Linked DNA regions of Sus scrofa. The protein of the gene in region 2 interacts with the protein of the main gene of each other region in a pairwise test. Links are inferred from orthologs where the notes say so. Each region holds a gene or a part of one and is shown on either strand. Other genes may lie near its edges.

Evidence for each region.
Region 1: the proteins of EHD3 (region 2) and RBSN interact in binary tests that used the Homo sapiens proteins (3 or more experiments, as listed by UniProt). The link is inferred for Sus scrofa from reciprocal best matches to the Homo sapiens genes EHD3 and RBSN.
Region 3: the proteins of EHD3 (region 2) and MICALL1 interact in binary tests that used the Homo sapiens proteins (3 or more experiments, as listed by UniProt). The link is inferred for Sus scrofa from reciprocal best matches to the Homo sapiens genes EHD3 and MICALL1.

The regions. Positions count from the first base shown.
Region 1 is NC_010455.5:69,431,351-69,434,996, reverse strand, and holds the end of RBSN (rabenosyn-5), read right to left. Parts: coding exon 3,108-3,646; 3' UTR 168-3,107; downstream 1-167. UniProt on the Homo sapiens protein: Rab4/Rab5 effector protein acting in early endocytic membrane fusion and membrane trafficking of recycling endosomes. Required for endosome fusion either homotypically or with clathrin coated vesicles.
Region 2 is NC_010445.4:108,132,647-108,136,392, forward strand, and holds the start of EHD3 (EH domain-containing protein 3), read right to left. Parts: upstream 2,516-3,746; 5' UTR 1,755-2,515; coding exon 1,528-1,754; intron 1-1,527. UniProt on the Homo sapiens protein: ATP- and membrane-binding protein that controls membrane reorganization/tubulation upon ATP hydrolysis. In vitro causes tubulation of endocytic membranes. Binding to phosphatidic acid induces its membrane tubulation activity.
Region 3 is NC_010447.5:9,950,497-9,954,142, reverse strand, and holds part of MICALL1 (MICAL-like protein 1), read left to right. Parts: intron 1-2,171; coding exon 2,172-2,220; intron 2,221-2,562; coding exon 2,563-2,704; intron 2,705-3,646. UniProt on the Homo sapiens protein: Lipid-binding protein with higher affinity for phosphatidic acid, a lipid enriched in recycling endosome membranes. On endosome membranes, acts as a downstream effector of Rab proteins recruiting cytosolic proteins to regulate membrane tubulation.

The DNA.
Region 1 (3,646 bases), on a different chromosome or scaffold from region 2:
CTGTCAAAAGCCCAGGGACCTTGATTTTGTCCAGAGGACTTAACCACACAGGTTGACACATGAGCTGGGACTGTCTTCTGATACTCAGATGGTCTTTTAGAAAGGAGGGGAGGGGTGTTATCTGGTAATTCTCACCTACAACACATACTCACACACACACTCCCAACCACTAACATCTGTTCTTTTATTTTTTTAAAGTTTTCAATACAAGGCCTCAGAGTAGTGCATGCAAATCAATGACCCTCAAACTCTCTGTCACTGTCAGATGACCACCACAATCTGCTACCACAGTCTGTGACCTGGCAAAAAGACAAGCTTCTCACCCAAGTCCCATCACATAACTTATGCCAACATCCGACCTACAACATGGCTGTTGATGACTCAGGTACATTTTAGTATCTGAATAGAAAAGACACAGTGAGCAGCAAGTATAATGAGTAAGTGTCCTTAGTGTATTAGACAGGGAAAATACAAACACAGCATAAAAGTGAAAAGCCAGCTTCATTTGATGCCTGAATCCCCAAAGTCTCTTCCATACATGCTCTGGGTCTAGGGACATATGCCAATGCTGTATCAAGGACTTGCTCATTTTCTGATAACATGGAGCTGTTTGCATTGAAGGAATGCAGGATGAGTGAAATATTCACATGAGGCAAGATCTTGAAGTTATGGTGGCAATCACAGGTCATCTTTTCCTTGATGTTAACCAACCCCTGTAAATACAACTTTGTGCCCATGCGAATTCCAGGAAATGGTACAAATCAGGGGTAGAGAATTCTACCTCTTGTCATGCCTGTGACTATATGAGAATATAACCATGGGAGAATTAAATGGAAGAATTCATGGAAAAATACAGCCATGGAAGAATTCAATCACATCAGAAGGTTTGAGTCCAGAAGGGTTTTAGTTTGTTTTAGTATATTCAGTGATTTTTTTTTTTTAAGTTTAAAAACACGTTGCTTATGTGCGTGGTTCTCGATTCTCTTAGTTAATTACTAACTGCCACTAGCAGTTGATTTCAGGGAAAGGCTATGTTTGGTAAATTGGTCTTAATTGAAACCACTAGCTAACTAAAAGATGTATTCTCATTAGAAAGGAAATTATGAGGGAGAGCAGCATTTAGCTTCTGGAACGACCTGCTTTTGGTGCAGAGAGCTTCCTTCTCTTCAGTCAGAGAGAAAAGACAGATGAGCAGGTAGGAGCATGCAGCCCATCAGTAAACCCCTCTAGAGTAACAGCATGAAGGGCAATGACCTTGAGTAAGAAAAGACACATGTACCAGACAACATTTTAGATGCCTAAATGCCAACCTCCAAAAACCATGACAAGCAGCAAGGTTGGTAAGTGGTGGACCTTAGGACCCCACTTTACATTCCTTTGTGAACAGAACCCAAATGGCAAGTGTCGTCCACAGACTCTCCACCCACCCACTACCCATCCCCACACCCCTGCACAGGACCTTTCTATCCAGCCAAAGATCCAGCAGGTACTAAAGACATGTGAATAGTGTCAATACAAATATAGATTATTTTTATACCACAATGTTTTTCAGACATTCTCAAGATCAACAGGGTTCTTCACAGAATGTAACAAAATGAATTTCAGCTCTCACTCTACTAACCAATGAGAGTATCACCCAGAGTTAGTTAAGGGGTATAAAGTGACTAGTGGTCATTAGTTAACAAGCATAATTGCAGGAACTCTACCCAAAGCTGAGTACACTTGGGTTTCATGATGTCAGATGTCAGTTAAGGGTTATGTTCCTGTAAACCTAAGCACCAGAACTAAATCAACAATTTCCCTTTTTGCCCTCAACTGGTGAAGAGTTCAAGTACTATGGTTCTACTAGAATGATCCTGGGTTGTGCCTCTTTCAAACATTTCAGTTCTTATTACTAAACACTGGTAAGGAACTCACCAGTGCCCACGTTAGGACAAGATGAACCAGAAGACAAGAAGGCCCATCAATTAGCCTTGGAAGATATTTTAATTGACCTTCTGACTCAGGAAAGCATCAACTTCTCTAACAATATTCCTCAAAAACTTCCTGATCATCAATTCCTGAACCATAGACTGGGCCCACTGAAAATGCCCCAGAGTAATTTTGCCAAAGCTCTAGAAGGAGCTTTCTCCAGGGACAGACAATTGTCCCAGCAGTCATTCAATTCTACAGAGGGACACTTGGGTAAAGCCTATTCTCCCAAAGTATACTATCTCTATCAACTCAAAGGCTAACCACTCCTATTTTCTTTCTTTTTCTTTTTTGTCTTTTGGCCCACTGCATTTGGAAGTTCCCCAGCCAAGGATGAAACCCTCACCATAACAGTGACAACCCTGGATGTTTAACCCACTGGGAACCCATAACCACTCTTATTTTCTATAAAAAGTTCATCATCAGACTCACAGTGATACTTCTGCCCTAGCTTAACTTCCTGAAAGAGAACTCAGAGTAAGAGGGTAACAGGCCCTGGTGAAACCTCACCCCTCTGAGAGGTGCTGGGCTTTTCTGGGTCTAAACTGCTGCCTTCACAGCAATCCCTCCCCAGAAGGGCAAAGGAAGCCCCAGTTGAAAGGGACTTAGCCTCAGGGGGACAGACTTCTGCCAGAGCAGAGGAAGATTTAAAGGACTCTAGCTTGTCTGTCTTGGCTAAAGGAAGGGTCTTAATATAGGCTGCCCTATAATACTGCGTAAGGACCAAACAGCAGGCAGGAACAAATGGAAGCACAAGGTGCATGGCAGCCGCTTCTGCCCGGGGCCCTACAGAACTGCATATACTATCTCGGCAGTGAAGATTTAAAGTCCCTGCTAAAGGAAAGCCCAATGAAAAGCAAAAAAAAAAAAAAAAAAAAACAGGAAAAACAGCAAACGTGTGCTGATTCTTCCTGTTCCACTTCCCATTTTTTTATTCAACTATGGTGGAGAAAGCTCCAGGTGCACAGCACGAAGCAGCAGATTCCTCCCCCACTAACCTGTGTGCATCTTAAACCTTGCCCACTTCCTTCTCCATGAACCTCAGCAACCCTCCCCACAAAGGCACCCCACCCATCGAGGTCAGTCGGCGCCCTTCTGTTTGGCCAGGGTGCGCTTCAGCTCCCTCAGGTTGTCGGTCAGCACCTCCACCTCATCCAGGCGGCCACACTGCTTGGCATCAAAGATGTACGCTTGATGTTGTCAATCTGCTGGAGAAGGAGCTCCTCCTCTATGGGCTCCTCGCCCTCCCGCCCACTGTCGCTGTCCACCTCGAAGGGGTTGGTGCAGGGGGCTTCCTCGAAGGGGTTGCCAGGAACAGGAGGGCCTGAGGGCCTCTGACTGGGATGCTCTTCTTCTTCATCGAAGGGATTGGGGGCTGGGCTGTCAGCATCAGTGAAGGGATTTCCTGCCACCGCCTCCTCCTCCTTCTCCTCAAAAGGATTGTACTCTTTGAGGATGCAGGCTGAAGGGCTGAGGGAAGGCTCTGCAGCAGTAGGGCTGGCTGTGCCCTCAGCTGAGGGGATGGGGAGGTCTTCCTCATCAAAAGGATTTAGGGAGGGCGCCTCATTGTGTTGGAATGTGGTGCTCTGGGGGGAGAATTCCTGGCCAAGGGCTGGGGGCCCAGACCACACTCTGAGGGGCTGGAGAGCTGAGCTGGGTGAAGGGGTCTTGGGGG
Region 2 (3,746 bases):
TCTCTTTTAAAGAGTTTAGAGGCCATGGATTAGATTCATCCCTAAAAGCCCTTGGAGCCCTAACAGTCTAAGATATCCAAAAGCCAACATCCACCCTGGGTACCCAACTTCTTCAGAAATCACTCTGCCTCTCAAAGCTGCTGAGTTCAAGGCTGTCCACCCCACAAGAAAGATTCCCGTGGTGTTCTGTTCAGACATGCCACATTAGCCTGGTGTATGCCCTGCTCCCAGAAGGCTTGTTGTTAAGAGCTTAGAGCTGGGGGAAATTTGAATCTAGAAAATTGGGAACCAGACTGTGAACTTTTCTGCTCTCCTCACCAAATAAAGCACAGTGCTTTGCATGTTGCAGGTGCTCAATGAATGGAAATGAGAACACCCCGCTTTGAAACCTTTGCAGGAGATGAGCACCATTAACTCGGGGTGGGGGTGGGGCGGGGGGGCAGGCACCGAACCCATCACCACTCTGTATGAGCCTGACTCTAACGTGGAGGGCCACGAGCACCCTCAGCAGCTTGCAGAGGCCATGAATAGGCCAAGGAGGATGGCTTGGCCTTGAGGTTTGTGTGGACTGAGGGCTGGAGAGAAGCCTGTCCTCTAAAGATATGAAAAATCCTCATTGCTCTGGTGGACAATCTGGGCACCTCCCTGAATACAGATGGACTCGCTGACTTCCTGAGGATCCCTCGAGCCCAAGGACTCTATAATTCAAGGGAATGGATGACTCACTCTCAAAGTTACAGGCATTCAGCCAACCATCTCCTCCCATGCGTCTAGGACCTGCATCCCAGGTCGGCCTCCTACCCTGTTGTAGGGCTTTGCACAGCTCAGGTAACCTCTCTATGCCTCGGTTACCTCTCCTGCCCCATCAAGGGGCTGGATGAGACAAGAGCCAATATCCCTTCCACCCCTAAACTCATGATTACTGAGCCATTAAGCTCAAACAAGGGAAAAGAAAAAAGAATTCTGCTTCTGGACACTGCTTCTCTCCAGTCTCCAAGACTCTGAGCTCTGCTCAGAGAAGGAAATTGAGAAAAAGAAGGACAAGTGGCACTAACCAGGCAGAGGGCAACAGGCTCCTCAGCCCAACTTCTCAGCTGCAACTGTAAAGCCCCCATATGAATGGGGCAGGGGAAGTGGCCGTGACTGGCCAGGGCATGTCCCTACAACGTGAAGGTGTGAGACACCTCCACTAGCGAGAGGTACTCTTGGACCAGGGCTTTGTCACCTGCGCCTCCTGGGTCTCAGTTTCACCATCCCTAAAGTGGGAAGAATAAGGATGAAGTTTAGCACTGCAAACTGACCACTTAAGCCAAGGGCTGATGCAAGGGAGAGGCAGTAGGTTGGACCGGGTTGGAAACCCACAGTGAAATTTGGGGCTAAGCTCTGGACAGCCCTGCACAAGGATTTCTCCAGAGCCTTCAAATGATGACTGCGCGTTTGTCCCCAGGCAGGAGGGAACACCCGGAGTGAATGGAGGGCCCAAACGCTGGGCGGCGGGGTGGGCTGCGGGGACACTGGCTGGCTCACCTGATGAAGGTGGTCTTCCCGGTGGAGTACTGGCCCACCAGCAGGACCATGGGCTTGTTGTCAAAGTCGGCATCCTCCAGGGCAGGGGAGTGAAACTCATGGAAGCGGTAGTGCTCTTCCAGGGGCAGCAGCTTGGTCCTGTAGAGTTTCTTGAGCCCCTCGCTCACGGTCTGGAAGACCTCGGGTTCCTTCTTCCGGCGGTCGTCGGAACCCAGCCAGCTGAACATCGCGGCCGCTGCTCACCACCCGGTGCCCAGTCCCAGCAGGAGGGCGCGGAGCCCCGCGTCGCGCACCCTCGGCTCCTTGCGGAAGGTGTCCCTCAGGGCGGGACCGCCAGGATCCGAGCCGCGCCGCCGCCTCACCGGAGCGCGGGGCTCAGGCGCACCATGGCCGGGGCGCGGGGCTCGGGGGTCCCTGGGGCGACCGCGAGGGGCCGGGAACGCTTTCTTCTCCTGCTCCCGGGACCAAGCCCAGCCCCGGCTTCATCCAGCAACCAAGGCCGGAGGGAGGAAAAATATCTGGGCTGAGCAGGAGGGCTGCGATCTTGGGGGGAAAAAAGTCAAACCTGTAATTAAAATGCCAGATGCCAGGGTCCCCGATCTCCCCCAGCTCTCTCCAGCTTTGGCTCGGGGGCAGTTAAGGGATGCTTGGGCTCCGCTGCCGCCTGCGCCGGAGGCTCAGGGGAGGCGACGGCGCTGCCCAGCCCGCAGACAACTCAGCATCCGCAGCCGCAACCTGCAGCCCCAGGCGCCGGTTTAAATGCCAGTCGTGCAGGAAGCCGGCTCGCGGAGGAAGTCCCCGAGTCCTGGCAAAACTCGCCTGGCCTGGCGGCCCCGGCGGGGAGAAGCTGAGCAGGGCGCCGCCATGTTTGTGGGCAGTCGCCGCCCTGGAGACCCGCGACCGCCAGCTGCCTGGGAAGGCAGGGATGCTGAGTCCGGTGGGAACGCTCTGGTATTTCAGTCCCGGCCTCTGGAGCTTTGATTTGGGAACAGCGCCCTCTCAGGGACAGCTATGAAGACAGTTAACCCGCTTCACACTCTCCCTGCTCTTAAATACAGCCTTTCGTTTAGTTACTGAGTTCACTTCTTGAGGATGACAGGGACTCTATTACCTGAGAATATTTTTCTTGGGGCATGGAAAGAAGAGTCCCAGGTGAGCTTACCTCCAATGACCAACTCTGTCACTGCCCGAACTTTTTGCTCCATCTAGGGTGAATTCAAAGCCATCCCCCTTCATTCATTCATTTGGTCATTCCTTCCGATAAAACCAAACAAACCAATCAAGACCTCCACAAGGACTGAGCCTATATTATGGCACAGACGCAATTTTGGTGACTGTGGTTACAGACTAGATCACAAAGATGAGCACGGACAGTGTCTCCTTTCCAGGGGCTCCAGCCAAGGCAGGCTTTAAAGAGGAGATGCGAGCTAAGGGCCATGGATGCACAGTGGAGGAGGCATCCTTTTGTCTGGCTAACTTGAGGAAGGCATCACAAAAAGCATGACTGTGAGCTGGACCTTAAATGATGAATCTGCAGCGAAGAAGGAGGACATTCCAGGCCCATGAAAAGGCACCCGCAAAGGCATGGGAACATGGAAAGACTTGGTGCTGTGAAGGCAGAGTAAACCGTTCCCTACCTAGAGAATGGGGTTCAGGAGGGTAGAAGGGAGTGACTGAGACCAGACGCGCCAAGGCTTTGCCAAAACAGGAGTCCTACTGGGGATAAGGAGCCAATGCTAGTGTTATAACTAAAAACTGTTAACGTGGACCAAGCACTCACCATGTGCAGGAGCCTGGGCTAAGTTCCCAGTGAGTATTGCTTCATTTAACCTTCACAACAGCTCTGCAAAGCAGATCCTGTCTCCAGTGTCATGCTGAGCAGAATGGGGGTCAGCACAGCTGGCCAGGTGTAGGCAAAATGGGTGCATTGTCTGTAGGGAATGTAAACACAGTAACAAAAACTAACTCAAAGTCAATCTGCTTTATATTCGCACCCTTCTAAACAGTGTCAGTGATAAAATACCCCTCCCTGCCAAGGTGGATGGCTCCCATATACTCCTTTTCCGCAGATGAAGTAACCAAGTAGGCTGACTGCTAATGCCATAGCGATTGGGGGAGGGGCTGGAGAAGCAAAGGAGGCTGGAGGCCAAGAGAAAACTATTAGGAAACTATTAAAAAAATTTAAGAGTTGGGGTAATCAGAATGGGGAAAAGGTCCTG
Region 3 (3,646 bases), on a different chromosome or scaffold from region 2:
CATCACAGCTCACGGCAACGCCCAATCCTTAAGCCACTGAGCAAGGCCAGGGATGGAACCCTCAACCTCATGGTTCCTAGTCGGATTCGTTTCTGCTGCGCCATGATGGGAACTCCAATTCAGGCGTCTTTAAGTTCCCTGGAGGGCAGGGACCCTAAGGCCTTCTTTTCTGTGCTCCTCGTCTCCCCCAGAGCCAGCTAGAACTTCCCAGGCCTTTGCGAACTCTCCGAAAATGATGTTTCCCAAGTCCAGATGTTGATTAGGGACAAAGGTAGGGGAGGGGAAGAAGCAAAGGAAACATCGTAGTGTCTTGGGGACCTTGGCAGTTTTCAGCTGTTTCCAGCACTCATTCATTCAGCAGACACTCGCGGAGTGCCTGCTGAGTACCCGGGACCAGGGCGGGTGTTGGGTACAGGACGTGAACAAAATGTGACCCCGGCCTTCTAGGAACGCTGCTGGGGAGACTGAGATAAACGGCTCAGACCAGTGGCTTTCCTCTCATTTGGTCTCAGGACAAGCTTTTGTTGGGGGCTGGGCTGGTGTCAATGTCACACTCTTCAGGAGTGGCAAACTGAGGGGAGGAGGCAGGGACCCAGCAGAGGGGAGAAGGAAGCCACCTGGCATGAGGTGGCAAAAGGGGCTGAAGCTCATATGCCATTTCCCTCCCCCTCCCCGGTCCACCTGGCCTTGGGTTTGCAAACGGCCCTCTCCTGCCTTGGCCCACTGTTCGCCCGCTATATCTTGGACTCTGCCTGGAGAAGCTGGGGTCGGGGCGGGGAGGGCAGGAGGAGACGGGCTCTCCCAGGCCCAGACGCTACCCATCCTCCCCACCAGCCTGAGAGGTGGGAGCTGAGCTTTCCCCACTTCGCAGATGGGTAAATCAAGGCGGCAAGGACTGCTGCCCAGGGTCACTTAGCCTCGCCTGGGAGAGCAGGACCCAGGACCCAGATGTTGGAGGCTGTGCTGCCCGCCCCGGCCTCTGGGCCCACGTCCCAGGCAGTCAGACTGCAGTTTTCAGCCGTAGAAGGATAAAGCTTCGGGCGGGTGCACCCTGGAGGCTGCTGAGCATGAAGGCTGGGCCTCCTCTGCTGGTTTTAGCGACTCCGACAGCCAGAGCTGGGCAGTGGGGTGGGGGTTAAAGCTGGGAGTCCCCCCAGGACAGGGCCTGCCCCTTCTTCCCACCTGTCCCAGCTCAGAAACTGGGACACCCTTTAGGGCTCCCCCAAGGCTGGTGCCCCCAGGAGTGGTCCAGTGGGGTCAGGCCAGCCGTTCAGCGCCAGCAGCTCTGGAGAATGTAATATTGCCAGGCTGGTTCAGACTTGTTCTATTCCTGGCCCCACTGAAACAACATTCCTTCTTGGGCTGGGCTGGGGATTCAGGAAGCTGGCGTGGCTTCTCCAGGTTTGTGACATGCAGTGGAAGGACCAGAAAGATGGATTCCCAGGGCTGGGTGGCTTCCCTGCTCTGAGCCTCAGTGTCCCTATCTGTAAAGTGGGGTCACTACCTGTTAAGTAGAGTTAAAAATAAGTAAATTTAAAGCAGGAGCTCAGCCCGGTATCCATTGTGAGGTCAGCACTCTGCGGATGTCCCCACTGCTACCAGCATCAGTCCTGGTCTTTTTTTTTTTTTTTTTTTTGGCTTTTGAGGGCTGCACTCACGGCATATGGAGGTTCCCAGGCTAGGGGTCCAATCGGAGCTACAGCTGCCGGCCTACACCACAGCCACAGCAACGTGGGATCCGAGCTGCATCTTCGACCTACACCACAGTTTACAGCAACACTGGATCCTTGACTGATTGAGGGAGGCCAGGGATGGAACCCGCATCCTCATGGATACTAGTTGGGTTCGTTAACGGCTGAGCCACAACGGGAACTCCTGATCTTAGTTTTGTCTTTGCCACTGAGTCAGGACGTGGCTTCCTGGGGGATAAACTTGAACCTGGGACTTTTCAGCCCCGCCCTTTCTCAGTGATTTCCAGCCTCTACTCAGAGGCCTTCGGGGCCTTGAGCTCATCCTCTGCCCAGGTGCTTTTTGCCCCCATTTCCTCCTCGACACCCCACCACCCGTCCCCAACCCTGCTGAGGCCCAGGCTCAGGCTGAGTCACCTCCCCTGGTCACACCCCGGCCCCAGCCCCCTCCTCAAGGTTCCTCCTCCCCTTTGCCTCCTACAGAGATTTTGATTCACTTTCCAAGGACAATGTCTTCGAGAATAACCGTTTGGTGAGTCCCCTGGAGAGATGGAAGTGCGAGAGACTGTGTACGTTGTAACTGGGCCACCGGGCCTGCCCCTTCTCCCGGTCACTGGTCACCATGTGGGGCCAGAGCTGGGCGGAGCCCACAGCCACCCCCGCCCTGGTCCCCCTCATCCCACCGAGAGCGAAGCTGGGCTGGTGATGAGTGGTACCTGCTGACCCTACCTCCTCTTCCTCTTCCTGCTGTGGCTTCCTCCGCAGGGCACCCCAGCCTCCCCCCCCACCCCCACCCCGCTTGCACCTGCACCGACCCCCACACTTCTCCCCGCTCTGCCCCCATCTCCCACCCTCACGTCTGCCCCCACCCCAGGCCTTCGAGGTGGCTGAGAAGGAGCTGGGGATCCCTGCTCTCCTGGACCCCAGTGACATGGTCTCCATGCGTGTCCCCGACTGCCTCAGCATCATGACCTACGTGTCCCAGTATTACAACCACTTCGCCAGCCCCGGCCAAGGTGAGAGGGGTGCCCCCGCTGTGCAGGGCAGCTGGCCCTGGGGGCGGGGCTGGGGCCGCACCCTGCTGTTTGCTGAGCTGCAAACAGGCCTGGGGAGGCAGCACCTCCTTCATTTACTGCCTGGCTCATTCACTCCTTCATTCACTCGTTGCAATACTTACCGAGTGAAATAACCCTGGGGGCCCACGTGGAGCCCACAGTCTTGTGGAGACAGACCACAAACACTGGAGCCAGCAACTGAGCAAAATAACATCAGAGGAGACAAAGCGAGTTCACCCGCCCTCTGGGAGTTCACCTTTGTCACCCACCCTTGCTTCCTGTTTGCAGACACTTCCCTGGGGTTTTTCCTCCAGCTGGCAAGGGGTCCTGCAGGGCGGCTGTGCACACCGTCTTCCTTAGCCGTGACCTTCAAGGCCTGAGAACCACGAGGCAGGGGAACTGTGGGGGGTAGGGGCTGCCAGGGTATTTCTCTGCTCTGGGTCAGGTCTCTGGGTGGCTATTGAGTCTCCAGCTTGGAGAGTCCCCGTGAGAGTCCCCACGCGGGAATCTCTCCTGGGGCTGCCTTGCCTTCCGCAGAGAGGAAACGGGCCCAGGGAGGGGAGGGAAGCGAGGATCCCAAGGTCACACAAGCAGGAAGACCAAATCCGGGCGTCCCGACTCCTGCGCCGTGTCACTGCTGCCACGGTTCCCCGGCCTCCATCACGGTCCTTCCTGCTGCTGTCTGTGGGGACAGTCTCAGCCTGTCTCTTAGAGTGGTATCCTATCAAGTCAGGGAATTTTTTTCTTCCTGAGAGTAAAACATGCTTACTGTAGGCAATTTAGGACAATAGGAAAGAGCATAAACATTTTAAAATTTAAATAATCTGTTACTCCCCCTCCCCCACCCCCAGCTATTTCTCCCCAGGGATCGATATTATAACTGAACCAATCACATGTGTATTT